Anolis sagrei: one gene and its partners. The protein of the gene in region 4 purifies or fractionates together with the protein of the main gene of each other region. This does not show direct contact. Links are inferred from orthologs where the notes say so. Each region holds a gene or a part of one and is shown on either strand. Other genes may lie near its edges.

Region 1 (7,158 bases), on a different chromosome or scaffold from region 4:
CATTATGTCTTCTCTCAGCCTCTTCTTCTGTAGGCTAAACATGGCTAGATCTTTAAGCCACTCCTCATAGGGCGTGTTCTCCAGACCCTTGATCGTTTTAGTCACCCTCCTCTGAAAACATTCCAGCTTGTTAATATCTCCCTTCAATTGCAGTGCCCAGAATTGTCACAATACTCCAGGTGTGGTCTGAACAAGGCAGAATAGAGGGGTAGCATGACTTCCCTGGACCTAGACACTATACTCCTATTTATGCAGGCTAAGATCTCATTGGCTTTTTTAGCTGCCACATCACACTGTTGGCTCATGTTTAACTTATTGTTCACCAGGACTCCAAGATCTTTTTCATATGTACTGTTGTCGAGCCAGGTGTCCCCCATGTTGTATCTTTGCATTTCATTTTTTCTGCCTAAATGGAGTATCTTGCATATGTCCCTGTTGAACTTCATTTTGCTAGTTTTGGCCCATCTCTCTAACCTGTTCAGATCGTTTTGAATTCTGCTCCTGTCTTCTGGAGTAATGGCTAGCTATCCCTCCCAATTTGGTGTCACCTGCAAACGTCACGATCATGACTTCTGACCCTTCATCTAAGTCATTAATAAAGATGTTGAACAGGCCTGGGACCAGGACGGGATCTTGCTTATGGCATTCCTCTCGTCACTTCTTTCCAAGATGAAGAGGAAGCAGTGGAGAGAGCCTTCTCCTCTGTGGTTCCTCGACTCTGGAACTCATTGCCCAGTGAGCTTAGGCAAGCACCCACCTTAGCAACCTTCAAGAAGAATCTCAAAACCTGGCTTTTCCGTTGTGCTTTTGGAGAGTAACCATACAACTACACACTGTTGCTCCCACTCAATGTTTGTGCCTATAGCACACTTCCCCCTGTCTATTTGAAGGCCTGTTTTTACAACTTCTCCCTCACAAATAATCTGCTCCACTCCTATCTCATGCTGAGCTTTTAGTATTTTATCTGTAAATGTGGCCTGCTCATTGTCACTGTGATTGCGAATGATTTTTCATTGTATTTTATATTGTTTATTGTATTCTTATGTTTTATTAAGCTTATTGTGTTGTCTGTTATGTGCTTTGTTTTTATTTTATTGTAATGCACTGTTGGGCCTGGCCTCATGTAAGCCGCCCCAAATCCCCGTTGGGAAGATGGTGGCAGGGTATAAAAAAAGATTATTATTATTATTATTATTATTGGTGAGCACCCTCTGGATTCTTTCACCTAACCAATTACAGATCCACCTAACTGTAGTTTTGCCTAGCCCACATTTAACTAGTCTGTTTGCCAGAGGGTTATATTGGACCTTGTCGAAGGCCTTACTGAAATCCAGGTACGCTACACCAATAGTGTTCCCTGTGTCTATCCAGCTTTATTTATTTATTTATTTATTGCACTTCTACCCCGCCCTTCTCAACCCCCCGAGGGGGGACTCAGGGCGGCTTACAAAAGGCACAATTCGATGCCGGCACAACAAGGTAAAAATAAACATATGTAAACAGTAATTAAAACAGTCCATTATACATCACACATCAAAATCACACATTAAGATCGTCCGGGGAGGCCCTGCTCTGGTCCCGCCTGCGTCACAGGCACGGTTGGCGGGGACGAGGGACAGGGCCTTCTCGGTGGTGGCCCCTCGGCTATGGAATGCCCTACCTATAGACATCAGACAGGCTCCTTCGTTGCTGGCGTTTCGGAAGAAGGTTAAGACTTGGCTTTACGAGCAAGCGTTTGGCTAAACAGTGCAACTGAACACAGGAAGACGGTAAAATTGAACATAGAAATGGCACAAGGATTATGAGAATGGATTTTGCTCTGTTATCGAGGCGTCATGAATTGATAATAATTGTTGATTTTGTTGTTGTGTATGATGTGTTTTTAACTGTTTATTGTTGTGATAACCTGCATTGTGTAAACCGCATTGAGTCGCCTAATTAGGCTGAAAAACGCGGTATAGAAATAAAGCAAATAAATAAATAAATAAATCTATAAAACCAATCTAATGCTCAACGTTTGCCAACTCAGAGTTCATAAATTCAATTCCACACTGTCAAGTCCATCAGTTGTCGTCACTAGTCCTTTGTCTGCTGCCAGATTACCCAAAGGCCTGGTCCCAAATCCATGTTTTTAATTTCCTTCTAAATGAGGGGAGGGATGTTGGTGACCTAATTTCCCTGGGGAGCGAATTCCACAGGTGAGGAGCCACCACTGAGAAGGCCCTGCTCCTCGTCCCCACCAACCTCAGCTTGTAACTCTATTGAAAAAAGAGATCAGATTAGTCTGGCATGACGTGTTTTAGATAAATCTGTGTTGACTATTAGAAATAACTGCATTCCTTGCCAAGTGTTTACAAGTGCAGTATCTTGCTGTACTACTGCTACTACTACTACATGCTGGCATACGTTCTTGCACGCTTCTTGTTCACAACAACTCCAAGTCACTGTGAGAAGTACTGAGAGGTTGGACACAACTGAAGTTCCCATTTCCAAAACGCGTTTGAACTAATTTCTCGTGAAATAAACGGGTCAAAGGTCCTACAGGCCAGGCTTTTTCTTCAGAAAGATGCCCATGGAGAACGACAATACTGGCCCCCCAGACCAGACACACTTCCCAACCTTTGGTCTCCCAGGGGCTAAGTTGGGACTTCAACTCCCGGGATTCCTCTCGGTTGGCGAAGACGGCTGGGGCTTCTGGGAGTTGAAGTCCCCCCATACCTGAAAGGTTGGGAGCCCCTATCGAAGAAAGGCAGCTTCCTCAGGCCATGAGGGCCAGGCCTCCCTCTCTCCCACTCCCACCCCCTTCTCCTCCTTTCTCCTCCCTCGCTCCCGCTCACCGTCGTTATCGTCGCTGTGCCGCCTGCGCGACATGGTCCTTCTTCCTCAACGGCCGGGGAGAGAGAGAGAGGAGGGAAAGAGGCCGGCAGCCAGGCAGACAGACAGACAGACAGAGAAGAGGTCCAGGGCGCATGCGCAACTGACACTTCTCGCGCGCTCGCCGGAGGAGGAGGCCTTCGACGCTTCGAAAAAAAAACGCCCACTGAAAGCCGTGTGCGAGGAACTGCGCGCGCGCCTGCCTGCTCCCCTTCCGGCCCGCGCGCACGCTTCTTCCGGTCCCTTCTGGCCCCGCGCTGCTCTCTCCGGCTACGACAAGTGCGCATGCGTACAAAGGGAAGCTTTTCCGGAGCAAAAGAAAGGGGAAAAAAAAGAACAGAGGACGATCAAGGGATCGTCGACAAATTAATGCCCTCGTGTGGAAACGAATAGAACTTGTGGAAGGAGGGTGAAGGGAAAGAGATTTGGTGGGGCGCCAAGGCTTCTGAGTTTGTTTTGTTGTTGTTTATGGTTCTCAAACTGGCAACAACTGTTCTTTGGAAGTCAGCAGTGCGTTTCTTCATGGCAGTCACCACTACAATCCTTTTGATTCCCCCTGAAAGGAACCCAAATCCTGCAAAGAAGCTATTGAGACCTTTTTTGGGGAGGGAGGGTGGAGATGTGGAATATAAATATTAAATCGATGCATCTTTATTTATTTGTATACTTATTTCTAAAAATTGGGACCAAAAAACGCTCGTGCAAGAAAGTACGCCTTCCACGTGCAAGTACATCTTCCACGTGCAAGTACGCTTCCATGTGCAAATACGCCTTCCACGTACAAATACGTCTTCCATGTGCAAGTACGCCTTCCACGTACAAATACGTCTTTCATGTGCAAGTACGTCTTCCACGTGAAAGTATGCCTTCCATGTGCAAGTACGCCTTCCACGTACAAATACGTCTTTCATGTGCAAGTACGTCTTCCACGTGCAAGTACGCCTTCCATGTGCAAATACGCCTTCCACGTACAAATACATCTTCCACGTGCAAGTACGCCTTCCATGTGCAACTACATCTTTCATGTGCAAGTACACCTTCCCTTTGCAAGTACGCCTTCCACATATAAATACGCCTTTCATGTGCAAGTATGTCTTCCACGTGCAAGTACATCTTCCACGTGCAAGTATACGTTCCATGTGCAAGTATGTTTTCCACATGCAAGTAATCTTCCAGTGGTTCCCAACATGTGGTCCGTGGACCACCAGTGGTCCAGAAGAATGAAAATATGGTCCACAGCATCACCATTACTACACAGTTGCCTCGAAACCACACAGCAGTGTGGTCTTGCAAAACTGGTCTTGCAAAACCCTCTTATAGTGCTGAGGCAACTGAGCTGTCAGGAGGGGAGAGGCTGACTACCCGCAAAGCATTACCACTACCACATCAGCTCTATTAAATACGGTTTTCTGAAGCTGAGCTGATGGTGACTACTGGATAGCGTATGTTCTGTATCAGAAACGAGAGCTGATGAGGTCTAGCCAATGCAATTTTCTCTTATCAGCACTTCAAATAACCAAACCGAATCTAAAATTGAGCAAAAACTGATTCATAACCTCTTTGGTACTAATGTTGGAGAGTGGTCCCTGGTCAAAGTAGCCCCTGGCCAAAAAAAGGTTGGGAACCACTGATTTGAAAGAACAAATTTAAGAATATAATTTTTAAAAACTCTGAAAAAATTATTCTGACTTGGGTTATGAGGCCGACCCATATGTTATATAGGCTCGGAACTTTTAGGGGTGAGGCCCCCTTTGTCTCCTGGCAACCAATATTTTTAGACCCAACCCACCACTGCCTACACTAGAATGAGTACGGTTTGGCCTGGTGGTGCAATGGTTTAAACCCTTGTGCCTGCAGGACTGAGGACCGAAAGGTTGGCAGTTCAAATCTGGAGAGTAGGGTGAGCTCACGTCTGTCAGCCCCAGCTTCCCATGCGGGGACATGAGAAAAGCCTCCCACAGGATGGTAAAACTGGGCGTCCCAGGGGCAACGTCCTTGTAGACAGCCAATTCTCACACCAGAAGTTACTGTCCTTGCAGACGGCCAATTCTCTCACACCAGAAGTGACTTGCAGTTTCTCAAGTCACTCCTGACATGAAAAAAGGCACCACTTGAACTGCCTTAGCTCAATGCTATGCAGCATTGGGGAGTTGTAGTATGTACAAAGCAAAAGACATTGTACATCTACAGCTCCCTTGATTCCATAGCATTGAGCCAGAGCAGTTCAAGTGGGGTCAACCCGCACTCATTCTACAGTGTAGCCGAGGCACCCTTTTCGGTCCATTGGTTCTCTCTGAATTGCCAGCAGTCCCTCCAGGGAAGGCTTCCAGGGAGGAGCCTTGCAAGAGAGACAGAGAGCAAGACATGCTTTCTCTTTGCAGAGAGTGCCAGCACATTCAGCTGCCAGGCCAGGAAGAAGAGGAGGAGGAGGAGGAGGAGGAGGAGGGGAAGTCAGTGCTGGGGACAGAGGGTGGCTGCAGGCGGAGAAAGCCCATCCAGGTAAAAGGAAACAGAGCAGCAGCCAAAGAAAGGCTGCGTTTTGCAGGGACTGAGCCATGCCTGCCCTTTCTATCCCTTTGTGGGTCCTAGAAGAGGCCTGGCTCTGGGGGTGGGACACGGCTGCCGCCATGGGGCTGCTTGCTGCTTTTCCATCCCATCTGCCTTCTAGCAATGGCCCTCCCCTCCTAGTGTTCCTCCCCACAATGACCCTGCGAGGCAGGAGAGGCTGAAAGAGAGGCTGGTCAGCCAAGAGTGCCAAGGCCCGGGAAGCAATTCAGTTCCGCATGCCTACACCAGCTTCCTCTGCACTGTAGAAGCATCCTTTAACTGCCCTGGCTCAGTGCTGTGGAATCCATGGGGTTTGCAATTTTGCAAGGGCTACCACTTCCCTGCCAAAGAACTCTGGGGCCTTACCGCACCAGGACTGTGGCACAGCGGCGGGGAGTCAGCAGCATTAAGATCACTACTGACCGAAAGGTCATGAGTTCGAAGCCAGCTTGCTGTCAACCTTTGCAGCCCAAAAGACAATTGCATCTGTCAAGTAGGAAATTTAGATACTGCGTATGCGGGGGGGGGGGGGGGGGTAATTTAATAATTTACGACACCATAAAAATCTCCAGCAAGCCTGCAAAGAATGAGGAAACACTCCATCAGTGTCACAAATGGACAGTGAAGCGATAGCTCCCCTGGTGGCCAGAATACCCTCATCAAAAAAAAAGCTGGAATGTTAATAAATATAAGCTGACAGACAATCAGAGGCTAATTAACTTTCCAGCTTTCATGAGAGTATTCTGGCCACCAGGGGAGCTGTCGCTTCACCATCCATTTTTGACACTGATTGAGTACTTCCTAATTCTTTTTTGCTTACTTGCTGGAGATTTTATGGCATCGTAAATTAGTTAAATTAGCCTCCCCGCATAAGCGGTACTTAAATTTTGTACTTGACAGATGCAACTGTCTTTCTGGCTGCAAAGGTTGATAGCAAGCTACACAGAAGTCGGAAGCTTACTCCGATCTGGGCTGGCTTTGAACTCATGACCTTTTTACAGAGTAATGATTTTGAGTCTTTGTCTCTTGGTAGCTTTGTGATTGAGATGTGATTTTAAACAAGGCCGCTAAGAAAGTGTTATACTAACCATAGTGATGCAGGGCTGGATAAAATGTTAATGTGATTATGATTAATTCATATACTCTCCTAAATGAGATTTCCTCAGATGCATGCCCTGGTAATCACACTTGCAAATTATGTCTGTGTTTACTTTCTAATGACCAGTCACAAAATGAAACACACTACCTTCAAAGAAACACACTAACTTAAAACCTTGACATCTTTCCCAATGGGAGGAACACCTCTGCAAATCTATATAAATAAAAATGTAGTGTTTGTTTGTGGGATTAACATAACTCAAAAACCACTGGATGAATTGACCCCAGATTTGGACACAATACACGTATCAGACCAACAAGTGACAATCACTCATAAAACACTGAAAAACACAGCGGAAGGGCTTACAAAGCAAAAAAAAAAAAAAACAAAAAAAAACCAACAACCCCAAAAATACATTACAATGCATGTGCAAAATCACACACACATACACAAACACACATATACACAAATATATACACATATATACACAAAAATCACATATACACAGACTAGATCACAGCAAGCCGTGGCAGAGGACGGCTAGTAAATGATAAATCCATATTGATTAGATTGAATTTTAGCTTATTAGTCATCCAAATTGGCATTATCTATAGGTGAAAGTAAATAGGTTTTGGTTT
Region 2 (7,391 bases), on a different chromosome or scaffold from region 4:
CTATTTACATGCCATACTTCTGGCAGGCCAGTCAATTTTAAATTATAAATTGTAACTTTACATTTGGTTAGTATTGGTGTTTTAATTTTGTTCTCTCTCTCTCTCTCTCTCTCTCTTTCTAGTATTGTGTTTTATCTGTGTGTTTTAACCATGTTGTATTCCCATCTCAAGCCACAGATAAAAGAAAAAAATCATTTATATTTTTATGTCTTATTTGGATGAAAAGTGTGATAAATAATTAATAAATAAAAGAAAAATAAAGCACTAAGACTCAAATAACAATTGTAGCCCATCCATATATGGATTTACTGGAGAGAAGGATTTTAGAGGCAAAGAATAAGTACTTTGGCCAAATAATGAGAAGACAGGAAAACTTGGAGAAGACAGTGATGCTGGGGAAAATGGAAGGAAAAAGGAAGAGGGGCTGACCAAGGACAAGATGGATGAATGGTATCCTCAAAGTGACTGGCTTGCCTTTGAAGAAGCTGGGGGTAGCCATGACCAACAGGGAGCTCTGGCATGGGCTGGTCAATGAGGTCACAAAGAGTCAGAAGCGATTGAACAAATAAACAACAACAACATGGATTCAACCTGCAATTTGCATTGGGTTGCTATAATTCATATTTGACTTTAACTTAACGGCTATCATATGCATGAGAGACCCCCAAAAGCCCCGCCCAGGAACTGCTCTGATGAGTTCTTGCCAAGTCAAGAGTATTCTCTTTCTTGATTGAATCAATCCACTTGCAGTCTTCCTCTTTCAAAGCACCACATTAGCACATTAGCAAAGTACCCTATTAACTGTATTTGCAACTGAGTCAGACTGAGAAGTTGTTTCCTTAGTATAGAGCTGTGGTTTCCAAATGTAAGTTGCAAGGTTTATTTCATGGTAGGTATATTCATTTGAGTTTTATATGTTTTTTTAAAGTATTTTAATGATGTTTAATCTGCTTTTAATTGTTTTTTGATATTAATGTAAATATTTTAAATAGTTTTGGAAGTTGCCTTGTGTCCCACTCCAGTTGAAAAGCATTATAAAATGCAGCAAGCAAATGAATCCAGATGTTTGTCTACCTCCTTGCTTAAGTGTCAATTATTTTTTCTGCTTACCAGAGCCTTCAAAGCAGTGTACAATGAAATGATAATTTAGAAACAGAAGCATCACATTCAACATGCACACACAGAGAGACTAAGCACAATAGTAAGAGCCCAAGATGTTACATAGTGCATGTAAGAAATTTAACAAAAATGGACGTAGCCTGACTTCATTTGGGAGAAAGTTCTACCAATGCAATAGCGACCAACAAAAAGCCTGGCCTTGTATTTCTTACCAACCTAATATCCAGTGTTTAGATAATTCCATCAGGTGCTGGTCTGTGGTGCATTTCCAGGGGACTATGTTATAACAATAGGGCAAATATATACCAGCGACACACTGAAAGAGTGCCAGCCTGCCATATCACATAGCTTCAAAAGTGCTGAATTAGGCATCATCACAACCATGGATGGCAATAGTTTAAAGAGCACATAGAATGATAATTGAAGCAAGTTCATTCCTGCCTTTTCTAGCTTAATAGAAACTAGAGGTGTGCCTATACTGTAGAATTAATGCTGTTTGACACCACTAATGGTCATGGCTCAGTGCTATGAATTTATGGGAGTTGTAGTTTGGTGAGGCACCAGCATTCTTTGGCTGAGAAGGCTAAAAACCTTGCAAGACCATATGCCCAATTCCATAGCATTATGCCACTAAAGTACAGCTTCCTGCAAAACAATTAACTTCAAAACAGAGACTTGCCTACTGAAAAATAAGAATGAAACAAAAGGCAAGTGTGGGAAAGTGGGGCCTTCCCAAAGTGAGAAAGGATACTATTTATTATTTATGTATTTTTTCATATATTTGTATCCCGCTCGTTGTTCATTCGTTCAGTCGTCTCCGACTCTTCGTGACCTCATGGACCAGCCTACGCCAGAGCTCCCTGTCGGCCGTTACCACCCCCAGCTCCCTCAAGGTCAGTCCAGTCACTTCAAGGATGCCATCCATCCATCTTGCCCTTGGTCGGCCCCTCTTCCTTTTGGCTTCCACTTTCCCCAGCATAATTGTCTTCTCTAGGCTTTCCTGTCTCCTCATGATGTGTATCCCGCTCTTCTCACCTTAAAAGGGGACTCGGAGCATCCTTACAGCAGGCAGCTATTTGATGCCAATACATACGAATATAAAAATAAATAAATACAATTAAAACCATACAATTAAACATTAATTATTAAAACATCAATTAAAATCCAGTAATCAAGATTGTAGTCCAAGGATTGTCCAGTTGTCAATTCCATTAGTCCGTTATCTTTATTATACTATTTACTGGTTGAATGCTTGGTCCCACTGCCACATCTTGAGCTGACCTGATTTCATTGAGTTCACAGATGAGGAGCCATCACTGAGATGGCCCTGTCGCTCATCCCTACCAATCGAGCTTGTGAAGGTGGTGGGATCAAGAGCAGGGCCTCCCCAGATGATCTTAACTTCCAAGGTGTTTGGACAGATATGCTGGGCTGGAACTGTTTAGCTTTATAAGCTAGCCAAAGCCAGCACTTTGAATTGTGCTTGTTAGCAGACTGGCAGCCAGTGGAGCTGGCATAACAGGGGGGTTGTGTGCTTCCTGAACGCTCCTCCAGTTAGAAACCTGGCTGCCAACCTTTGGACTAATTGAAGCTTCCCAACAGTTTTCAAAGGCAACTCCACATAGAGCATGTTGCAGTAATATATTCAGTATGTAACAAGAGCATGGACCACCGTGGCCAAGCCTGACTTCCCAAGGTATGGGCGCAACTGATGCACAAGTTTTGATTGTGCAAAAGCTCCCATGGTTACTAATGGTTATTTAGTCAAGCCGTCGTGCAGAAATCCATTTAGCTGTCTAATGTTTTCAAATCTCCAGTGAAGATACTGTATTGTGTCCTGCCCATAAATCATAATCTAACCCAGGGTTCCTCAAACTAAGGCCCAGGGCAGGATACGGTCCTCCAAGGTTATTTACCCGGCCCTCGCTCAGGGTCAACCTAAGTCTCAAACTACTTGAAAACACAGAACAATAACAACAACAATCCTATCTCATCAGCCAAAAGCAGGCCCACACTTCCCATTGAAATACTATTAAGTTTATATTTGTTAAAATTGTTCATCATTTTTAATTATTGTATTGTTTTTAATTATTTTTTGCACTACAAATAAGATATGTGCAGTGTGCATAGGAATTCATTCATTTTTTCCAAATTATAATCCGGCCCTCCAACAGTTTTGAGGGACTGTGACCTGGCCCTCTGTTTAAAAGGTTTGAGGACCCCTGATCTAACCAGTGGAAATAAGGGATGATGGGAAATGTAATCCCACAAGATCCTACATGTCCTTTATTCCTATTTAAAAGCACAGAAGCAGGTTCTAGCATATAGTTCACTGTGACTCCCGATAGCTGGATTCTAAATTTGTCTATTCAAAATTAAGCTCTACAGGATTTGAGTGGACACTCCCAAGGTGTAGCTACATTAGATTTAATTCAGTTTCCCACCATTTTGACTATTATGGCTCAATGCAGTGGAATCTAGGGATGCTTAGTTTGGTGAGGCACTAGCACTCTGGGACAGAGAAGGCTGAAGACCTTGTAAAACTACTACTTCCAGAATTCCATAGTATTGAGCTATAGCAGTTAAAGTGGAGTCGAAGTGCATTAGTTCTACAGTGTATCGGGTATGGGCAAACTTGGGCCCTCCGCTTAAGCGGCTGAGGGGGAAAAGGAAGGGACCCGAGGCTGTTAGGAATGATGGGAGTTGAAGTCCAAACCCCCTGGAGGGCCCAAGTTTGCCTATGCCTGGTGTAGATGCACCCTACATGGCGTGCCAGAGAAAGGCCTAAATCTGTCTCCCTCCCGCGCCTCTGTGTAGGCCTCGCCGAAGCCTCCCTTCACAGAGATTGCCATGGTAACCGCGCCCTTGCCTGCAGTCAGAGGCAGGAGAAAGGGGGAGGGGCTACCGCTCGTGTGGGCGGAGCTGGGTTTCGAAGATGTCGATCACTGAAGACACGGCTTCTCATTGGTGGGTAGGCTCTTCACGTGACTCTATGGGCAGGACGCATATAAATACAAGACCGTGGCGTTGCCGTCCGCCATTTTGTCCAGTACGAAAGAGTCGAGGGTGGTTAACAGCTCAGGCCTTGGCGGGAAAGAAGGCGAGGCCGAGCGCGCTTTAAGGGCCGAAGGACAAAGAGAAAGAGGCGACGAAGGCAGGAAAAGAAAAGGCAGCGTGAGAAGCCCTTGGCGCTCCTGGCCCGGCAGCCGGTGAGGGAGGGAGGGGCGCGGGCGGGGTGGCAGGCCTCGCGGCCCTGAGGGCGGACAAAGAGCCGCCGCCATTTTGTGGAGCAGAAGTAGTAACGCCAGGCCCCGGTCGGGGGGTGGGGCCCTGGGTGGGAGGGAAGGCTTGGCTCCTTCGGCACGGGGGGCTCTTTCTTACGCACCTACCATTAAAAAGAGAAGGTCGAAGAAATGGATGCCGAATTCTTCCTACTTGGGCGCCAAGCGGCGTTAATTACAAGCCGTTATTTTCCTCATCCGGCCAGCTGTAATTTCCCCACCGATGAGCAGCATTATTTTCGACAATCGACGCAGGGGATTTTCAAGTTGTTTTTTTTTGTGAAACATTTCAAATGCAGAAAAGTCACCCTATTTATTCATTTGCTGCATTTGGGCTTTCCGAACTCACATTAGCGGCTTCAGGAAAGAGCATTTTATGGCCCTACCTACATTGCCATTGTTTGAAACTGCATTATATGGCCAGTGTAGGCTCGTTCGGTGCAGTTAAACAGCATTATGTGTAGATGGGCCTTTATCTGTAGGCTGACGAGTGTTTATAATGAACATCCTGCCTTAAAGTGGGGCCTCTGGCCCTGTCTTGTTTTGGACGTTAAGCAGGGTCACCCCTGTGGAGCCCCCGGTGGTGCAGTGGGTTAAACCCCTGTGCTGGCAGGACTGAGGACCGACAGGTCGCAGGTTCGAATCCGAGGAGAGGCGGATGAGCTCCCTCTATCAGCTCCAGCTCAACATACGGGGACATGAGAGAAGCCTCCCACGGGGATGATGAAAACATCAAGTCATCCGGGCATCCCCTGGGCAACGTCCTTCCAGACGGCCAATTCTCTCACACCAGGAGTCACTCCTGACACGACAAAAAAAAACAAACCCTGGTTAGCACTTGGTTGGGAGGCTTCCAATGAATACTAAGTGCTTTAAGACAGTGGTTCGCAACCTGTGGGTCCCCAGGTGTTTTGGCTTACAACTCCCAGAAATCCCAGCCAGTTTACCAGCAGTTAAGATTTCTGGGAGTTGAAGGCCAAAACATCTGGGGACCCACAGGTTAAGAATCACTGCTCGATCATAAAACATGGGGAAGGTTTATTAAACTGCAAAAACATCCTGTATTTCATACAGTAGGACCCTTCCCTTATTTTCAAAAGGCCATTCACTGCAAACTATATTTGTCCCTCTCTTTCCCCAGCAATATATGTGAGCACTGTAATATCAGAGTATCTGAGAATCTAGCTCAGTGGTTCTCAACCTGTGGGTCGCCAGGTGTTTTGGCTTACAACTCCCAGGAATCCCAGCCAGTTTACTAGCAGTTAAGATTTTTGGGAGTTGAAGGCCAAAACATCCGGGGACCCACATGTTGAGGACCACTGCTTTAAGGTATGTTTCAGAGAATGAATTGGCAAACCACCTCTTGAATGTATTGTCGAAGGCTTTCATGGCCGGAATCACTGGGTTGTAGGTTTTTTTTGGGCTATATATGTTCTAAAGGCATTCTCTCCTGACATTTCACCTGCATCTATGGCAAGCATCCTCAGAGGTAGTGAGACCTCACTACCTCTGAGGATGCTTGCCATAGATGCAGGCAAAACGTCAGGACAGAATAGCTCTAGAGCAGTGGTTCTCAACCTGTGGGTCGCCAGGTGTTTTGGCCTACAACTCCCAGAAATCCCAGCCAGTTTACCAACTGTTAGGTTTTCTGGGAGTTGAAGGCCAAAACATCTGAGGACCCACAGATTGAGAACCACTGCTCTAGAACATGGCCATATAGCCCCAAAAACCTACGACAACCCACCTCTTGAATATTCCTTCCCCCAGAAGAACAGTATGTAATCCATGGAGTTGCAACCTGGATGTGTCAGTGTGCATTTGATGGTTAGGTCCCTGTTCATGAATGCCCAGACCTAATTGAGGGATAGGTTGTACTCGGCACTTTACCCCCAGCGCTTGCCCTATATAGAAGAACTTTATTTTTCAACCCCGCCTCCATCTCCCCAAAGGGACTCGGGGTCCCAAGACAGAATACAATTAAAAACAAAGTAAAACAATTTAGACAACATAAAACAGCGAAAACAACATCCTCACTACTTCTGAGGATGCTTGCCATAGATGCAGGCGAAACGTCAGGAGAGAATGTCTCTAGAATATGGCCCTATAGCCCCTAAAAACTTACAACAACCCAGTGATTCCGACCATGAAGGCCTTTGACAATACGTAACAATAATAACTAGCAACAACTATAACAGCAGACTAACTTTGGAGGGGGGGGGGACTATAGTCTGCTTTTTGCACGAGCCCATGCCCAGCCCTCACTAATTCTGATTATTTCCACTGTATTTCTGGTCACTGATTGTCGAGGTTTACTTTCTATAAATTTCAATTAAGTTTTTATACCCTGCTATTTTTAATTGATTAATTGGGTTGTGATACGTTACTATGTTTATAATTATGTTTTAGTTGGTAAACCGTGTTGTCTCTGGGCTTGGTCCTGCATGTGAGTCGCCCTGAGTCCCTTTGAGGAGATGATGGCAGGGTATAAAAATAAAATAGTTATTGTTATAACATAACTTGAAGGCACATATTCTGAAATGAACAGTCAGATTTATTCATGCTACATTTCCCCACTGGAGTGAACATCACAGGATTTAGTATGTGCTAATAGTGGAAGCTTGACAACATTTTTTACTTGATCATGTTGTAGAGATGCATCGTGACTCGTGTCCGCTGGACTGCAAGGTTTACGTAGGTAACCTTGGGAACAATGGCAACAAAACGGAACTGGAACGGGCTTTTGGCTACTATGGACCTCTGCGAAGTGTATGGGTGGCTAGGAATCCCCCTGGCTTTGCTTTTGTTGAATTTGAAGACCCACGTGATGCAGCTGATGCCGTGAGAGAGCTAGATGGGAGGTAAAAACCCCCCAGCTTTTTACATCTTAGAGATAAGTTCTGGGGGCATATAGGTTAGTTGTGGTTAAAGCCTTGATTTGTATGTTATGCAAAAATTGTATAATACACTAAAACAATTCAGCATTGTTGAAAA
Region 3 (7,998 bases), on a different chromosome or scaffold from region 4:
GGCGGAATATAAATACTGTAAATAAATAAATAAATAAATATGTGTGGCTGTTTCTTAACTCCCTTCAGTACTGGCCAAAATTGGAGAAAGATAATGGGAGCTGTAGTTCAATATGATCTGGCAAAATATTCCTCATGCTGTTATTCATTTCAGAAAATAAATGGCAGCAGCAATTTTTTAAAAACTTTAATATTGAACCTAGTCACGAAAGTAGTTTACAGTTTGATTTTGACCCTGAAAATATACTTGAGTGCCACCTAGCTACACCTCAGGGTATTTCGGATAATCAATTATACATTCCTCTAGGATGGCTATGACTTGTCAAGCCCTATGAAATCCAAAATCAAGGTCACAACATCATCTGTTATAGAGCTCCAATATGGTGATGATAACATAGTCTGTGCACATTCAGAAGACCTACAAGCCACTCTAAACACCTTTTGCAGAAGCTTGGCTTGTCATTGAACAGTCACCAGCCAATCCCTCTGCAATGCCAGAAATACAACTAACATTAGAAAATGTTGACCTTTTTCACTACCTTGGCAGCCACCTCTTCACAAAAATCAACATTGACACTGAAATACAGCACCTCTTGAGCTCTGTGAGTGCTACATTTTTTCTGAAGCAGAGTGTGTTTGAGGATCAGGGCATCCATAGGGCGACCAAGGTGCTTCTTTATAAAGTTATTGTCCTCCCAACCCTGTTATATGTCTGCAAAATGTGGACTGTCTATAGACATCACACTCAACTCCTGGAACGATTCCATCAGTGTTAGCACTGAATGGCCTTGCAGCTTCAAAGCCCGGCTGCTTCATGCCTGGGGGAATTCTTTGTTGGGAGGTGTTAGCTGGCCCTGATTGTTTCCTGTTTGGAATTCCCTTGTTTAGTGTTACTTTTCTCCCACCCTCCCATTCCACAGATATATAAACCTCACTTGCTTAGTTTCCAACAGACCTCATAACCTCTGAGAATGCCTGCCATAAATGCAGGCGAAACACCAGGAGAGAATGCTTCTGGAACATGGCCATACAGCCTGGAAAACTCTCAGCAACCCAGTGTTTATTGACTGTTTACTAGTTATTATGTGTTTTTTTTAATGTTGTATATTGCCCAGGATCCCATGCAGGGCGAAAAGTGATACATCAATCAATCAATCAATCCAATAATAAAATGATGTTTACACAAACCAAATCACAGTTAGTTTTTGCATCCTAGCAAGCAATGACAACTAGGACTGTCTAATTCTGGTTCAAAATTACCTGTTTCCCAAGGAAAGGTGTTTAGCCACTGACATCACAGGTTCAGACACATTTTTGACAATTAGTTTTGTGAGTGATCCAAAACCAGCAATATTAGCTTCACAAAAGATTAAACTTCTTGTAAAACGCTGAACAGGGATGGTACCATATATTTTGCAGACTGTTTAATTATAGTTTTAAAACATAGTAAGCTGGCTCAAATAGTTGTTCAGAGCTCCATAAACGTATGAAGCTGTGAATTACCGTAAAGGCTGAACCTTTATCTTTGTCCTTTCTCTTGCGTGCCAACTCCACCTTATATATAACCAGATCATGAAATATGCTGCTTGAGGGATTCTGGGCGTTCAAAATTAACTTTCCCAAGCTCTACCCATTAAATGTGAACTGCTAGTTGTGGGATGTTGGGAGTTGCAGTTCAAGAAGTAATTTTTCCAGCTCTCCTCATTAAACTTGAACTGGGGAACCTGAACCACTGGTTGGGTGGGTATGTTCTGGAATCTGTAGTTTAAAAAGGAACTTTCTCAAGAGCCACCCATTAAACTGGAGAACATGAACTGCTGGTTGAGGGATTCTTTATTTGTAGTTCAAAAAGAAACTTTCTTAACCTCTGCCCATTCAAATTGAGATGGGAAACTTGAATTGCTGGTTGAGGGATTCTAGGAGGCATAGTACAAAAAATAGCTTTCTCGTGTTTTGTCCATTCTACTTAAATCGGGGTACCTGAACTGCTAGTTGGTGGGTTCTGGAAATTGTAGTTTCTCAAGCACTGCCCGTTCAACTTGAACAAGGAAAGCTAAACTGCTGGTTGGGGGATTCTAGGAGTTGTAGTTTCTCAAGCACTGCCCATTCAACTTGAACTGAGGAAGCGAAACTGATGGTTTGGGGAATTCTGGGAGTTGTAGTTTCTCAAGCACTGCCCATTCAACTTGAACTGGAGAGGCTAAAATGCTGGTTGGGGGATTCTGGGAATTGTAGTTCAAAAAGTAACTTTCTCAAGCGCTGCCCGATAAAACTGGGGAAGTTTGGTTTAAATTCAGCCAAAATGGAATAAAAACAACAAATAAAGAACGGAAAGTAGATTATGGCCCACATGCCACAGATTTCTGGTGGATACTATCTGTGTATTGTTGGGTGGGATTCTTGCAAGGCACACTAATCTAGACAGACCCAGATCTTATCCAGCAAGACACTTCTGAAGTTCTTACATGCTTAAAGCTCAAACACACACACAATCCCACTTAACACAGTTTTGTCATGCCTTCTCTGTGAAAAGATGGTGGTCATTTATGCCTCTTTGTTTCAAACAGATCGGCAGGCCACGAAAAGTCTAGTTAATATATTTACCGTGTATACAGCCCACCCATCACTGCAGTTGGACCACCCCAGTTGCACAATGTGGATTTCTTTTTCTTTATGCTGGGAGACTGGAAAATCTCTGTTGGTGTACAGACCGAAGAGTAAACAAGAGGGTCAAACAGCTGTAAAACTGTCATAACAAAAGGACAACACAGCTGCTTTGAAAAGTACACAAGAGATCAATTTTCTGCCCATCAGCATTAAATTACATCCTCTCTCAATTTTTAAATGCTCTGCATCAGAATAGTCATTTTGTTCATATCTGAACTCTCTAGTAATAGCTGCGTAATCTTTTTTTCTGGCTGGTTTAATGACTTCCTCCACCCCCCAATTCAAGTTCAATGGGGAAAGTTTAAGAAAGATACATTTTGAATTACAATTCATAGAAACTCCCAACCAGCAGTTCAGGTTTTCCAGTTCAGTTTCAATGTGCAGAGCTTGAGAAAGTTTCTTCTTGAACTACAACTCCCAGAATCCCCCAACTAGCAGTTCAGGTTCGCTAGTTCAGGTTTAATTGGCAGAGCAAGAAAATCCATCTATATGCACAAAGACACAGCTCTTGAATGGCATTGTCTGCTTTTCCTTATTATATTAAGAAGATCCCAAATATAATAATAATAATATCCCAGGTGACAGCAGGATTGAGAAGTAACTGGAAAAGCTTACACCAGTGTTTCTCAACCTTCCTAATGCCGCAACTCCTTAGTACAGGTCCTCATGTTGTGGTGACCTCCAACCATAATGTTATTTTCGTTGCTACTTCATAACTGTAATTTTGCTACTGTTATGAATTGTAATGTAAATATCTGATATGCAGGATGTATTTTCAGTCACTGGATTAAATTTGGCACAAATACCCAATACGCCCAAAATTTGAATACTGGTGGGGTTGGGGGTGATTCATTTTGTCATTTGGTAACGCTGGAGTTGCTGGGATTTATAGTTCACCTTAAATCAAAGAGCCTTCTGAACTCCATCAATGATGGAATTGAATCAAACATGGCACACAGAATTCCCATGACCAAGAGAAAATATTGGGAAGGACTGGTGGACATTGACCTTGAGTTTTTGGAGTTGTAGTTCACCTATATCCAGACTGTGGACTCAAGCGATGACGGATCTGGATCAAACTTGGCACAAATACTCAATATGCCCAAATGTGAACACTGGCAGAGTTTGGAGAAAATAGACCTTGCCAATTGGGAGTTGTAGTTGTTGGGATTTATAGTTCACCCACAATGAAATAGCATTCTGAACCCCACCAATGACAGAATTGGACCAAACTTTCCACACACAACCCCCATGACCAACAGAAAATACTATGTTCTTGTGGGTTTTTTCGGGCTATATGGCCATGTTCTAGAGGCATTTTCTCCTGACGTTTCGCCTGCATCTATGGCAAGCATCCTCAGAGGTAGTGAGGATGCTTGCCATAGATGCAGGCGAAACGTCAGGAGAAAATGCCTCTAGAACATGGCCATATAGCCCGAAACACCCACAAGAACCTAGTGATTCCAGCCATGAAAGCCTTCGACAATACAGAAAATACTATGTTTTCTGGTGGTCTTTGGCGACCCCTTTGACACCCCCTCACGACCCCCACAGGGGTCCCGACCCCCAGGTTGAGAAACACTGGTTTAGACGATATGAGAATTTAAAGATTGAACTGCAAAGACTCTGGCACAAACCAGTCAAAGTGGTCCCAGTGGTGAATGGTACACTGGGTGCAGTGCCTAAAGACCTTGGCCTGCACTTAAAAACAATCAGCACAGACAAAATTACTATTAGCTGCAAAAGGCCACCCTACGCGGATCTGTGCGCATTATTCACTGATACATCCTAGACACTTGGGAAGTATTCTCACGTGTGATCAAATACAAAAGCCAGCATAGTGATCTTGTTTGCTGTCTACTAATCTTGCTATGTATCAAATCAATAATAATAATAATAATAATAATAATAATAATAATAATAGAGTGGAGCATGGTTTACAAGCCCCAAAGTCTTATCAGCCACATTAATTGTGGGTGATAAGACTTTAATGCGATTGGACCATTGGATCATCCTTGGTCCTGAGTTCAAATCCTTCCACAGACAAGACCCTTTTCTAGATTCCTTAAACAAGCTATATCCCACGCTCTAGTTTCTCTCTCGCGAGACAACAGGGGTAGTCTCACGAGAGCTCGCGGTTTCAAGTGAAGCCGCTCGAATCTTTCCTGGATGCCGCCATCTTGCCTCGGTAAAGCCACCAGAGGAGGTTTGTGGCGGTTTTCCGGGCTTTTATAAGGAAACGGTGGTCCCCACGAGGCGGGGAAGGAGGCTTGGGCTGGCTGTGCTTTCCCCGCTCCTTTTCTGAGGGACTCGGGCTCTCGGCCTTGCTTCCTTGGCTTTGTCTCCCTCTCAGAAAAGGCTTGGGCCTAGGAGTAGGAGGCGGCGGCGGCGGCAAGATGGCGGTGGAGTCTCGCGTTACTCAGGAGGAGATCAAGAAAGAGCCTGAAAAGCCCATCGACCGCGAGAAGGTAAAGAGAAAAGAGCCAGAAAGGGGAGGAGGGACAGACTACCTCTGAGGATGCTTGCCAAAATGCCTCTAGAACATGGCCATATAGCCCGAAAAAAACTACAACAACCCAGTGATTCCGGCCATGAAAGCCTTCGACAATACAATGAGAGAAAGACTGAAGGAGATAGTAAGGAATACAGAGAAAGAGGCCCCTTCCACACAGCTGAATAAAATCGCACATTAACTGCTTTGAACTGGGTTATATGGCAGGGAAGACTCAGGGCCCTATATCCCAAGGGCCCCATATCCCAGAATATCAAGGCAAAACAAACCCACATTATCTTGGATATCTTTGAACTTGGATAACCCAGTTCAAAGCAGATATTGTGGGTTATTCTGCCTCAGTATTTTGTGTGGAAGGGCCCAGAGAGAAACGAATGGGAGAGAAACAGAAAGGAAAAGAAAGAACACCTCCACAGGTTACCTGTTCCTGCAGAATTGATCACTATAAACACTGTATTGTTGAAGGCTTTCATGGCTGGAATCACTGGGTTGTAGGTTTTTTCGAGCTATATGGCCATGCTCTATTATTTATTTATTTATTTCAATCACTTATACCCCGCCCTTCTCACCCCGGAGGGGACTCAGGGCGGCTTACAGGGGAGGGCACAATTAGATGCCCGAACACATAACAAGTAATACAAAAAATAACAATTCAACACTTAAATTAAAACATCAGTACATAGTAAAAACCTAAAACAGTCTCATGTCAGGGTCCATATATCAGAGTCCATAAGTCCGTCCTATTCCGTTTGTCTTGTCTATTCCCAGGTCCTTGATTTAATTGTCAGAGTGACCAAAAGCTTGGTCCCACATCCAGGTCTTTAGTTTTTTCCTAAATGTTAGGAGGGAGGTCGCCGATCTGATCTCCCCAGGGAGTGAGTTCCACAGGCGGGGGGCCGCCACTGAGAAGGCCCTGCTCCTCGTCCCCGTCAGCCTCGCTTGAGAGACTGGCGGGGTCGAGAGCAGGGCCTCCCCAGAAGATCTTAAACTTCGAGGTGGGATGTAGAGGGAGATCCGTTCGGACAAATGCTCTAGAGACATTCTCTCCTGACGTTTCGCCTGCATCCTCAGAGACCTCACAACCTCACAACAGATCCAGGGAAGTCATGCTACCCATGCTCTATTCTGCATTGGTCAGACCACACCTGGAATCACACTGTGTCCAATTCTTGGCACCAAAGTTGAAGGGAGATATTGACAAGCTGGAATGTGTCCAGAGGAGGGCGACTAAAATGATCAAGGGTCTGGAGAACAAGCCCTATGAGGAGCGGCTTAAAGAGCTGGGCAAGTTTGGCCTTCAGAAGAGAAGGCTGAGAGGAAACATGATAGCCATGTATAAATATGTGAGAAAAATATCACCTCAACAAAAGTTTGCTCCAGGCACTGTCAGGCCATTTTATGCTAATCAAGGTGGTCAGTTGAAACATTCACAACTAGCTCCAACAGACAAGAGTTCTTTGTCCCACCCTGGTCATTCCACAGATATATAAACCCTTTTTCCTAGTTCCAACAGACCTCATTACCTCTGAGGATGCTTGCCATAGATGCAGACGAAACGTCAGGAGAGACTGCTTCTAGAGCATGGCCATATAGCTTGAAAAAAACCTACAACAACCTAACTATAAATACTTCTGAAAAATGTATTCCAGTTTTATTAGAATTTAGTATCTTCCATGATAAATGACCTTTGAAAAGAGAATATAATAAAAGGATCCTAAGGGCCCTTCCACACAGCCCTATATCCCAGAATATCAAGGCAGAAAATCACAGAATATCTGCTTTGGACTGGGTTATATAGCAGTGAGGACTCGGGGCCCTTTTACACAACCCTATATCCCAGAATATCAAGGAGAAAAACCCACATTGTCAGAGAGTGGACTCAGATAGCCCAGTTCAAAGCAGATATTCTGGGATATAGGATTGTATGGAAGGGCCCTTAGGTAACCCGGTTCAAAGCAGATATTTTGGGTTATTCTGCCTCAATAGTCTGAGTTATATGGTTGTGTGGAAAGGGCCAGAGAGAAACGAATGGCAGAGAAACTGGAAGAGAAAAAACACCTCCACAGGTTACCTATTCCTGCAGAATTTACTGCTATAACACTTCTGAAAAATGTATTCCAGTTTTATAGGAATTTAGCATCTTCCACACAGCCCTCTATTCCAGAATATCAAGGCAGAACATCCCAAAATGTCTGCTTTGAACTGGGTTGTATGGCAGTGAGGACTCGGGGCCCTTTCACACAACCCTATATCTCAGAATATCAAGCAGAAAAACCCACATTGTCTGAGAGTGGACTCAGATAACCCAGTTCAAAGCAGATATTGTGGAATATTTTGCCTTGATAGTCTGGGATATAGGGTTGTGTGGAAGGGCCCTTAGGTAACCCAGTTCAAAGCAGATATTGTGGGTTATTCTGCCTCAATATTTTGTTTGGAAGGGTCCAGAGAGAAATGAATGGGAGAGAAACAGAAAGGAAGAGAAAGAACACCTCCACAAGTTATCTATTCCTGCAGAATTTACCGCTATAAACACTTATGAAAAATTTTATAGGAATTTAGCATCTTCCATGATAAATGACCTCTTTTAAAAAGAGAATATAATAAAAAGATTCCAAGGGCCCTTCCACACAGCCCTATATCCCAGAATATCAAGGCAGAAAATCCCACGATATCGTATTTGAACTGGGTTATCAGAGTCCATACTGGCATATATTCCAGTTGAAAGAAGATAATCTCAATCTCCGAGAGGGTTCATAGGGGGAGATAAGTTCGGACAGGTGTGTGTATTATATGTGTGTGCAAGTATATCGGTGATGGAAC
Region 4 (7,703 bases):
AGGTGGCCTGTCCTATAAGGTCTCTGCAGTGGGGCAACCCTGAACCCCCAAAGCAAACACAGTATTCTTGTAATGGTGGGATATTCTATAAAATAGCCTATGTAATGGTGGGATATTCTATAAAATAGCCTATATGTGGGCCGTTCTATAGGGTCCCTGCATAGGAGCAACCCTGGACCCCTAAAGTAAGCACAGTATTATTGTAAAGGTGGGATATTCTATACTATAGGTGGTCTGTCCTATAGGGTCCCCTACATAGGAGCAACCCTGAACCCCTAAAGCAAGCACAATGTTCTTGTAAAGGTGGGATATTCTATACTATAGGTGGTCTGCCCTATAGAGTCCCTGCATAGGAGCAACCCTGAACCCCTAAAGTAAGTACAATACTCAATGTGGAAGTGAGACATCTTAAAAATATCCTGCATAGGAGCAACCTGAACTCCTAAAGCAAGTACAGTACTCTTGTAAAGGTGGGATATTTTATACTATATCCTATAGGTGGTTTGTCCTATAGGACCCTGCATAGATGCAAGCCTGAACCCCTAAAGCAAGCACAGTATTCTTGTAAAAGTAGGATATTCTATATTATATCATATAGGTGGGCTGTCCTTTAGGGCACCTGCATAGGAGTAACCCTGGACCCCTAAAACAAGAACAGTATTCCTTTAAAGGTGGATATTATATACTAAATCCTATAGGTAGGTGTCCTATAGGGCCCCTGAATAGGAGCAACCCTGAACCCCTAAAGCAATACAATACTCAACATAAAAGTGAGATATCTTCAAGATATCCTGCATAGGAGTAACCTTGAACCCCTAAAGCAAGCACAATATTCTTGTAAAAATGGGACATTCTATATTATATCCTATAGGTGGGCTGTCCTATAGGGTACCTGGATGGGAGCAACCCTGAACCCCCAAAGCAAGTACAATACTCAAGGTGGAAGTGAGATACCTTCAAGATATTCTGCATAGGAGTAACCCTGAACCCCTAAAGCAAGCACAATATTCTTGTAAAAATGGGACATTCTATATTATATCCTATAGGTGGGCTGTCCTATAGGTTACCTGAATAGGAGCAACCCTGAACCCCTAAAGCAAGCGCAATACTCAAGGTGGAAGTGAGATATCTTCAAGATATCCTGCATAGGAGCAACCCTGAACCCCAAAAGCCAGCACAGCACTCACCTCTGCCCTCCTCCCACTTGTTGCTTTGACTCTCAGAGCAGAAACTGCAGCAGCAGGAGCAGCATCTCCAGGGAAAGGGAAGCCAAGCCTTGCTCCAGAGGCTCTCCTCCGCCTCCTTTGTGTCCCTCCGAAGCCCAAAGCGGCGTGCTTTGCCGGGGCTTCTCCCTCCAGGGGTGGAGGCCCCTCCCCGGGGCTGGACCGGGCTAAGCAGGCCGCCCCCCGTCCTCAGACCACCCTCCTCCTCCTGCCTGCCTCCCTTCCTCCTCCTCCTCCTGGCATTGGCTGCTGTTGCTTCTTCCTCTTGAGTCCCTGGCTGCAGCTGCACTGTGGGATTAATGCATGCAGCTTGGCACCTCTTGACCTGCATTGGCTCAAGGCTATGGGATCATGGGAGCTGTAGTTTGGCAAGGCACCAGCACTCTTGGCCAGAGGAGGCTGGAGACCTTGTGAAACTACAATTCCCACAATCCCATAGCATTGAGCCAGGGCAGTTGAAATGGTATCAAACTGTATTCTTTCTATAGTGTAAATATACCCACCATCAGGTGCTTTGCATCTTACTTCAAGGCTGGGAAAATAGGGGGAAAGCAACAACCACAACAACAACAACAACAACAAAGGCTCAGAAATAGAATCATAGAATCCTAGAGTTGGAAGAGACCTCATGGGCCATCCAGTCCAACCCCCTGCCAAGAAGCAGGAATACTGCATTCAAAGCACCCCTGACAGATGGCCATCCAGCCTCTGTTTAAAAGCTTCCAAAGGAGGAGCCTCCACCACACTCTGGGGCAGAGAGTTCCACTGCTGAACGGCTCTCACAGTCAGGAAGTTCTTCCTCATGTTCAGATGGAATCTCCTTTCTTGTAGTTTGAAGCCATTGTTCTGCGTCCTAGTCTCCAAGGAAGCAGAAAACAAGCTTGCTCCCTCCTCCCTGACTGCACTGACCATGTCATGTAAGATAACCAATTGCAGAGAAGGGAACCAATAGAATGAGCAGGAACTAGGCAGTGCTTCTTGTAGGTCAGAGAATGGTCCAGAGTGACTCCCAGGTATTATTTATTTATTTATTTACAGCTTTTATATTCCGCCCTTCTCACCCCGCAGGGGACTCAGGGCGAATTACAGTGTACACATACATGGCAAACATTCATTGCCAATTTTTGACATACAAACATATACAGACATACACAGAGGCTATTTAACTTTTTCTGGCCACCAGGGGAGCTGTCGCTTTCATTGTCCATCTGCGACACTGATGAAGTACTTCCGCATTCCTCGCATGCTTCCCCGCTGGAATGCTTTGCTGGAGTCTTCTTTATGGCCTCATAAATTAGTTAATTTAGCCTCCCCACACTTTAATGTGGTACCTAATTTTCCCACTTGACAGATACAACTGTCTTTCGGGTTGCAAAGGTCGACAACAGGCTACACACAATTGGTTGGAAAACCCACTCCAACCTGGGCTAGCTTCGAACTCATGACCTTTTGGTCAGAGTGATCTTTAATGCAGCTGACACTCAGCCAGCTGCGCCACAATCCCGGTATTTGGGTGTGCTGCAGTGCTCCAGTGGGATTCCTTCCCTGGTAATCCTCAGAGCTCGAAATGCTTGTCTGTTCTTAAGGTGAAAAGCACATGTCTGCATTTTAGATGGATTAGGAATCAGCTGGTTTTCCCTGTAATAGGTAGTAAGGCCACCTAAAGCTTTGGAGAGCTTCTGTTCAACGATTTCACAGCTCCCTGCTTGGGTGGTGATGGCATGATCGTCAGCATAGATGAAACTCTCTGTCCCTTCTAAACAGTATAATTTCTCCAGTGGTGTAGGGCGTAGACATCCTGTGATAATGCGGCATGTGTCCTTAAGAGCCACATCCACTGTTTTAACGTGATGGGATGTGTTCCACACTGGGCATAAGGAAAGGAAAGGGCCTGAGGTTGTTAGGAACTGTGGGAGTTGAAGTTCAAAACAACTCCCATGCCTGTTGTAGATGGACAGCACTGATCATGCTCTCATAATCTGAGGATTCGACCCTAGAATCATAGAATCAAGAGTTGGAAGAGACCTCATGGGCCATCCAGTCCAACCCCCTGCCAAGAAGCAGGAATGTTGCATTCAAATCACCCCTGACAGATGGCCATCCATCCTCTGTTTAAAAGCTTCCAAAGAAGGAGCCTCCACCACACTCTGGGGCAGAGAGTTCCACTGCTGAACGGCTCTCACAGTCAGGAAATTCTTCCTCGTGTTCAGATGGAATCTCCTCTCTTGTAGTTTGAAGCCATTGTTCCGCGTCCTATTCTCCAAGGAAGCAGAAAACAAGCTTGTTCCCTCCTCCCTGTGGCTTCCTCTCACATATTTATACATGGCTATCATATCTCCTCTCAGCCTTCTCTTCTTCAGGCTAAACATGCCCAGCTCCTTAAGCCGCTCCTCATAGGGCTTGTTCTCACCCTGACTCTGGAGATGTGAGTTCGAATCCTAGCTTAGCCACAGAAATCCAAGTCACACTCTCTCAGCCCCAGAGATAGGCAAAGGCAAACTTCGGACTTCAACTCCCAGAAGGCTCTCACATCGTGGCCAACACCCAGGAATTCTGGGAGATGAAGTCTCAGACAAAAGAATCCCTGCTTGTTGTGACTCTTATCAAAAACATATCTCTATGGGCAGAAGCGAACGTCGGTAAGCGTATGTTTAGGGCGAGAGTCACTGAGAAAGCTTTACTGCGCACGCGCAACTGTCTCCTGTATCTATAACCTTTACAAAGCGCGAACGTTGCAAAATCAGAGATGGAAGCATTAACGCGCATGCGTGAAGTCTAGTCCCGTTACTGACTCTATTGGGAGGAGTGAACGTTTGCTGACGTCATGGAGACAGGGTGAGGAAGGGCAAACTTCGGACTTCAACTCCCAGAAGTCTCCCACATCGTGGCCAACACTCAGGAATTCTGGGAGATGAAGTCCCAGACAAAAGAATCCCTCCTTGTTGTGACTCTATAAGTTATATCTCTATGGGCGGAAGCGAACGTCGCTAAGCGTCTTTTAGGGCGAGCGTCACTGAGAAAGCGTTAATGCGCATGCGCAAGTGTCTCTTTTATTTTTTACAAAGCGCGAGCGTTGCTAAATCAGATAGAAGCATTAACGCGCATGCGTGAAGCCTAGTCCCGTTACTGACTCTATTGGGAGGAGTGAACGTTTGCTGACGTCATTGAGACAGGGTGAGGAAGGGTTAGAGCGCATGCGTAAGTGATTGTTTGAGGCTGAGCGTTGGAGCGCATGCGTAAACTTCTCGTCTCTTTAGCGTCTGTTGGGACTCTCTGGAAAGGAGCGAACATTGGGTGGACGTATGTTTTACGTCGTGCGTCACCATCTACGTCATGGAGTAGAGCTGAGGGCGCATGCGCGGTTCAGTTGCGGCCTAGCCGGCGGTGTTGCGGATCTCCTCACGTTCTCACGCGCGGCCTTCGGAGCCTCTGAGGGAGAAACGCGTGCAGGGAAGCGGCGGGAGGCACGACTCGGCCGGGAAGGATGTCGGGGACGACGGGAGGTACGGCGGGCTCTGCTCGGAAGCGGCTGCTGAAGGAGGAAGACATGACGAAGGTGGAGTTCGAGACCAGCGAAGAGGTGGACGTCACCCCCACCTTCGACACCATGGGCCTGCGCGAGGACCTCCTCCGAGGCATCTACGCCTACGGTGAGCCGGGAGGGACAAGATTCTCATTCTGTCTCGCATTATAACCATCTATACAAACATAACAACAATAACACAGTCTACCGTTATATATTATTATATATTATCAGTAGTAACTATTATATTTAATATATTAGTATTGCTATATTACAGTAGGGCGGCATATAAATGTCATAAATGTTCATGTTTTGGGGTTTGATCTGTAAGTGGAAAGGGATGCTAAATGAATTTTAAATGGCTTTTCTAGGCTTTGAGAAACCTTCAGCTATCCAGCAGAGAGCAATCAAACAGATCATTAAAGGAAGAGACGTAATTGCACAGTAAGTACAGATTATTTAATTATTTAAACATTTATATTCCGCCCTTCTCACGTCGCAGGGGACTCAGAGCAGAGCACAACATATATACGGCAAATATTCAATGCTGGGATATAAAACCATAAATATATACAAACATTAAAGTCACTTATATTCAGATTAAAAGTTGCTTAAAAACCATCTCAGGACACCATTTTGCCTCATTTCACTGCCCCAAAGGCTTGGTCCCACAGCCAAGTCTTCACAATCCTTCTAAAGGACAGGAGGGAGGGGGCTGATCTAATATTGCCAGGAAGGGAGTTCCATAACTGGGGGGCAATCACTGAGAAGGCCCTGACTCTTGTCCCTACCAAACATGCCTTTGGTGGTGGCGGGACCAAGAGCAGGGCCTCCCCAGAAGATCTTAGTTTCTGCAGTGGTTCATAAAGGGAGATCTGTTCAGACAGGTAAACTGGGCCAGGGCCATTTAGGGCTTTATAGGCTAAAGCCAGCACTTTGAATTGTCCCAGTAGCAAACGGGCAGCCAGTGGAGCTGATGTAACATGGGAGTTGTGTGCTCCCTGTATGCCACCCCAGTTATTAACCTGGCTGCCTCTCATTGGACTGTTTGAAGCTTCCGAATCGCGTTCAAAGGCAACCCCATGTAGAGCGCGTTGCAGTAGTCTATCTTGGATGTAATGAGAATGTGAACCACCATGGACAAGTAATGTATATGGAAGTAAAATGAGGTCACTTTGGAATATTGCCATATTGACTATAAGAAAGTAAACGATTCTTGATGTTGTGTTTTACACCTTTGATGCCAATGACTACAGCAAATTTGTCAGATTAAATCCACCTCAGTTCAGTGGTCCTTGTTTAGTGTAAAATGTGACAGTGAATGTATCTTCTTGTCAACCATTGTATCTGTTTATGTTGAATCTTTTATTATATGACATGAAATCACAGTCACATTTAGCCACAGATCTAAATTAACTTGCAATATTCCTTTTATTCTATGACACCATTGAGTCTAAGATGCACACTAATTTCAGTACCACCATTTTCACCCAACTATATATATATATATATATATATATATATATAATATATAATCCCAACCATTGTAAGAAACACCACAGTTTTAGAGATGTTTATACAAGAGGAGAAGCAGGTCTTAGAAATGAAGAAATATAGTTCTATTTCCAGCTACAGTATCCCCATTAAAGCCATGGGTAATCAAGTAAGTCAGCACTTTGTATAGACTGATAATCCTTGATGAGAATGCATATTCTTTCCACAGCAGGAATGCCCTTGCTTTTCACACAAGAACCGAAAACTTAAGCCTTTTCTCCTCACCTGCAGGACAAGATTTTTTTTCTTGTGATTTTTGAATTTCTAGTTGATTTTTTTGTAATTGGCATAATTAGTTCAAATAACAAAGCTAAATGTAAATATTTAAATCAATATCAACAAAGCTGCCTTTTTCGTGAACTAAAAATCAGAGGGATCAAATCAAATATCAGCTTTGAACTATGAGGGTTAAAGTGGTATCAAACTGCATTCATTCCACAGTGTAGATCCATTCCACTCTAAAACCTTATCTGCCTTTTTGCTATTTAGATTTTAAATAACCACCTTGACCTACCTGGGTTGCTGTTTATTTTTTGTATTATTACAATTGTATTATTTCTGTGCAGTCAGTTGACCACATTTGCTGGGATTTAGAGGTACAGGGTCTCTTTTTGGATTTACTTCAACTCCCGCAATTCCTAACAGCCAGTTGTTAGGATGTGTCTTAATTTATACCTGTACTGTCTCTTTTTAGAAAGTATTTGAAGGCTAGACATCAGTATCTTAGTTTGCGAAGAGTTCAGAGGAAAATCATAGACCTTTTAATTCTACATTGTACAACTGCAGATGCTTGAGACACAGCGGATGATACCACGTGTTTGTATATTATTAACTTGTACAGTTTTATTATACTCTCCAAAGTAGACCATAACTTAAATTTGATTGTTAAACATAGGTTTTATTTGTAGAAGTTTCAGTTTCGAGAACTATTTCAATGTCATGATTGTGGAAGTAATCCTATATATATGAGTTGCCTGAGGGCTGAGAAGGGTGGTATACAAATACAGTAAATAAATAAATATAATGACAAAGGAATATATCTCATTGAGCTCAGTGGGAGCTGCTTCTGAAAAGACGTATAAATACTGTACTATAAAAGCCTAAATTAACCCCCCAAGTTCACTGTTAAAATGTTATTTTTAGCCATGAATTAATTAGAACGAAAATACTCTTAGTCCCCCATCTTTAATGCAGAATAATGAGCTACCAATATACTTTACATAATTCTTGGGAGGATTACTGAAATAATGTTCATCATATTTAGGAAAGTGTCATACAATTCACTGAAAGAGCCATCCCATGTGAAACAAGTACTAATGTAGAAAATATTTTTAGTATACCCATATATACTCGAGTATAAGCTGACCCGAATATAAGCTGAGGCATCTAATTTTATTTCATTA

What was found.
Region 1: the proteins of EIF4A3 (region 4) and NCBP1 purify together in Homo sapiens (co-immunoprecipitation; 3 studies listed by BioGRID and IntAct, with this or other methods). This does not show direct contact. The link is inferred for Anolis sagrei from reciprocal best matches to the Homo sapiens genes EIF4A3 and NCBP1.
Region 2: the proteins of EIF4A3 (region 4) and SRSF3 purify together in Homo sapiens (affinity purification with mass spectrometry; 3 studies listed by BioGRID and IntAct, with this or other methods). This does not show direct contact. The link is inferred for Anolis sagrei from reciprocal best matches to the Homo sapiens genes EIF4A3 and SRSF3.
Region 3: the proteins of EIF4A3 (region 4) and SAP18 fractionate together in Homo sapiens (co-fractionation; 3 studies listed by BioGRID and IntAct, with this or other methods). This does not show direct contact. The link is inferred for Anolis sagrei from reciprocal best matches to the Homo sapiens genes EIF4A3 and SAP18.

The regions. Positions count from the first base shown.
Region 1 is NC_090022.1:150,976,486-150,983,643, forward strand, and holds the start of NCBP1 (nuclear cap-binding protein subunit 1), read right to left. Parts: upstream 3,104-7,158; 5' UTR 2,872-3,103; coding exon 2,838-2,871; intron 1-2,837. UniProt on the Homo sapiens protein: Component of the cap-binding complex (CBC), which binds cotranscriptionally to the 5'-cap of pre-mRNAs and is involved in various processes such as pre-mRNA splicing, translation regulation, nonsense-mediated mRNA decay, RNA-mediated gene silencing (RNAi) by microRNAs (miRNAs) and mRNA export.
Region 2 is NC_090024.1:187,254,006-187,261,396, reverse strand, and holds the start of SRSF3 (serine/arginine-rich splicing factor 3), read left to right. Parts: upstream 1-4,143; 5' UTR 4,144-4,328; intron 4,329-7,050; 5' UTR 7,051-7,052; coding exon 7,053-7,258; intron 7,259-7,391. UniProt on the Homo sapiens protein: Splicing factor, which binds the consensus motif 5'-C[ACU][AU]C[ACU][AC]C-3' within pre-mRNA and promotes specific exons inclusion during alternative splicing.
Region 3 is NC_090023.1:28,525,441-28,533,438, forward strand, and holds the start of SAP18 (histone deacetylase complex subunit SAP18), read left to right. Parts: upstream 1-4,809; 5' UTR 4,810-5,062; coding exon 5,063-5,134; intron 5,135-7,998. UniProt on the Homo sapiens protein: Component of the SIN3-repressing complex. Enhances the ability of SIN3-HDAC1-mediated transcriptional repression. When tethered to the promoter, it can direct the formation of a repressive complex to core histone proteins.
Region 4 is NC_090021.1:21,907,493-21,915,195, forward strand, and holds the start of EIF4A3 (eukaryotic initiation factor 4A-III), read left to right. Parts: upstream 1-4,511; 5' UTR 4,512-4,707; coding exon 4,708-4,873; intron 4,874-5,117; coding exon 5,118-5,190; intron 5,191-7,703. UniProt on the Homo sapiens protein: ATP-dependent RNA helicase. Involved in pre-mRNA splicing as component of the spliceosome. Core component of the splicing-dependent multiprotein exon junction complex (EJC) deposited at splice junctions on mRNAs.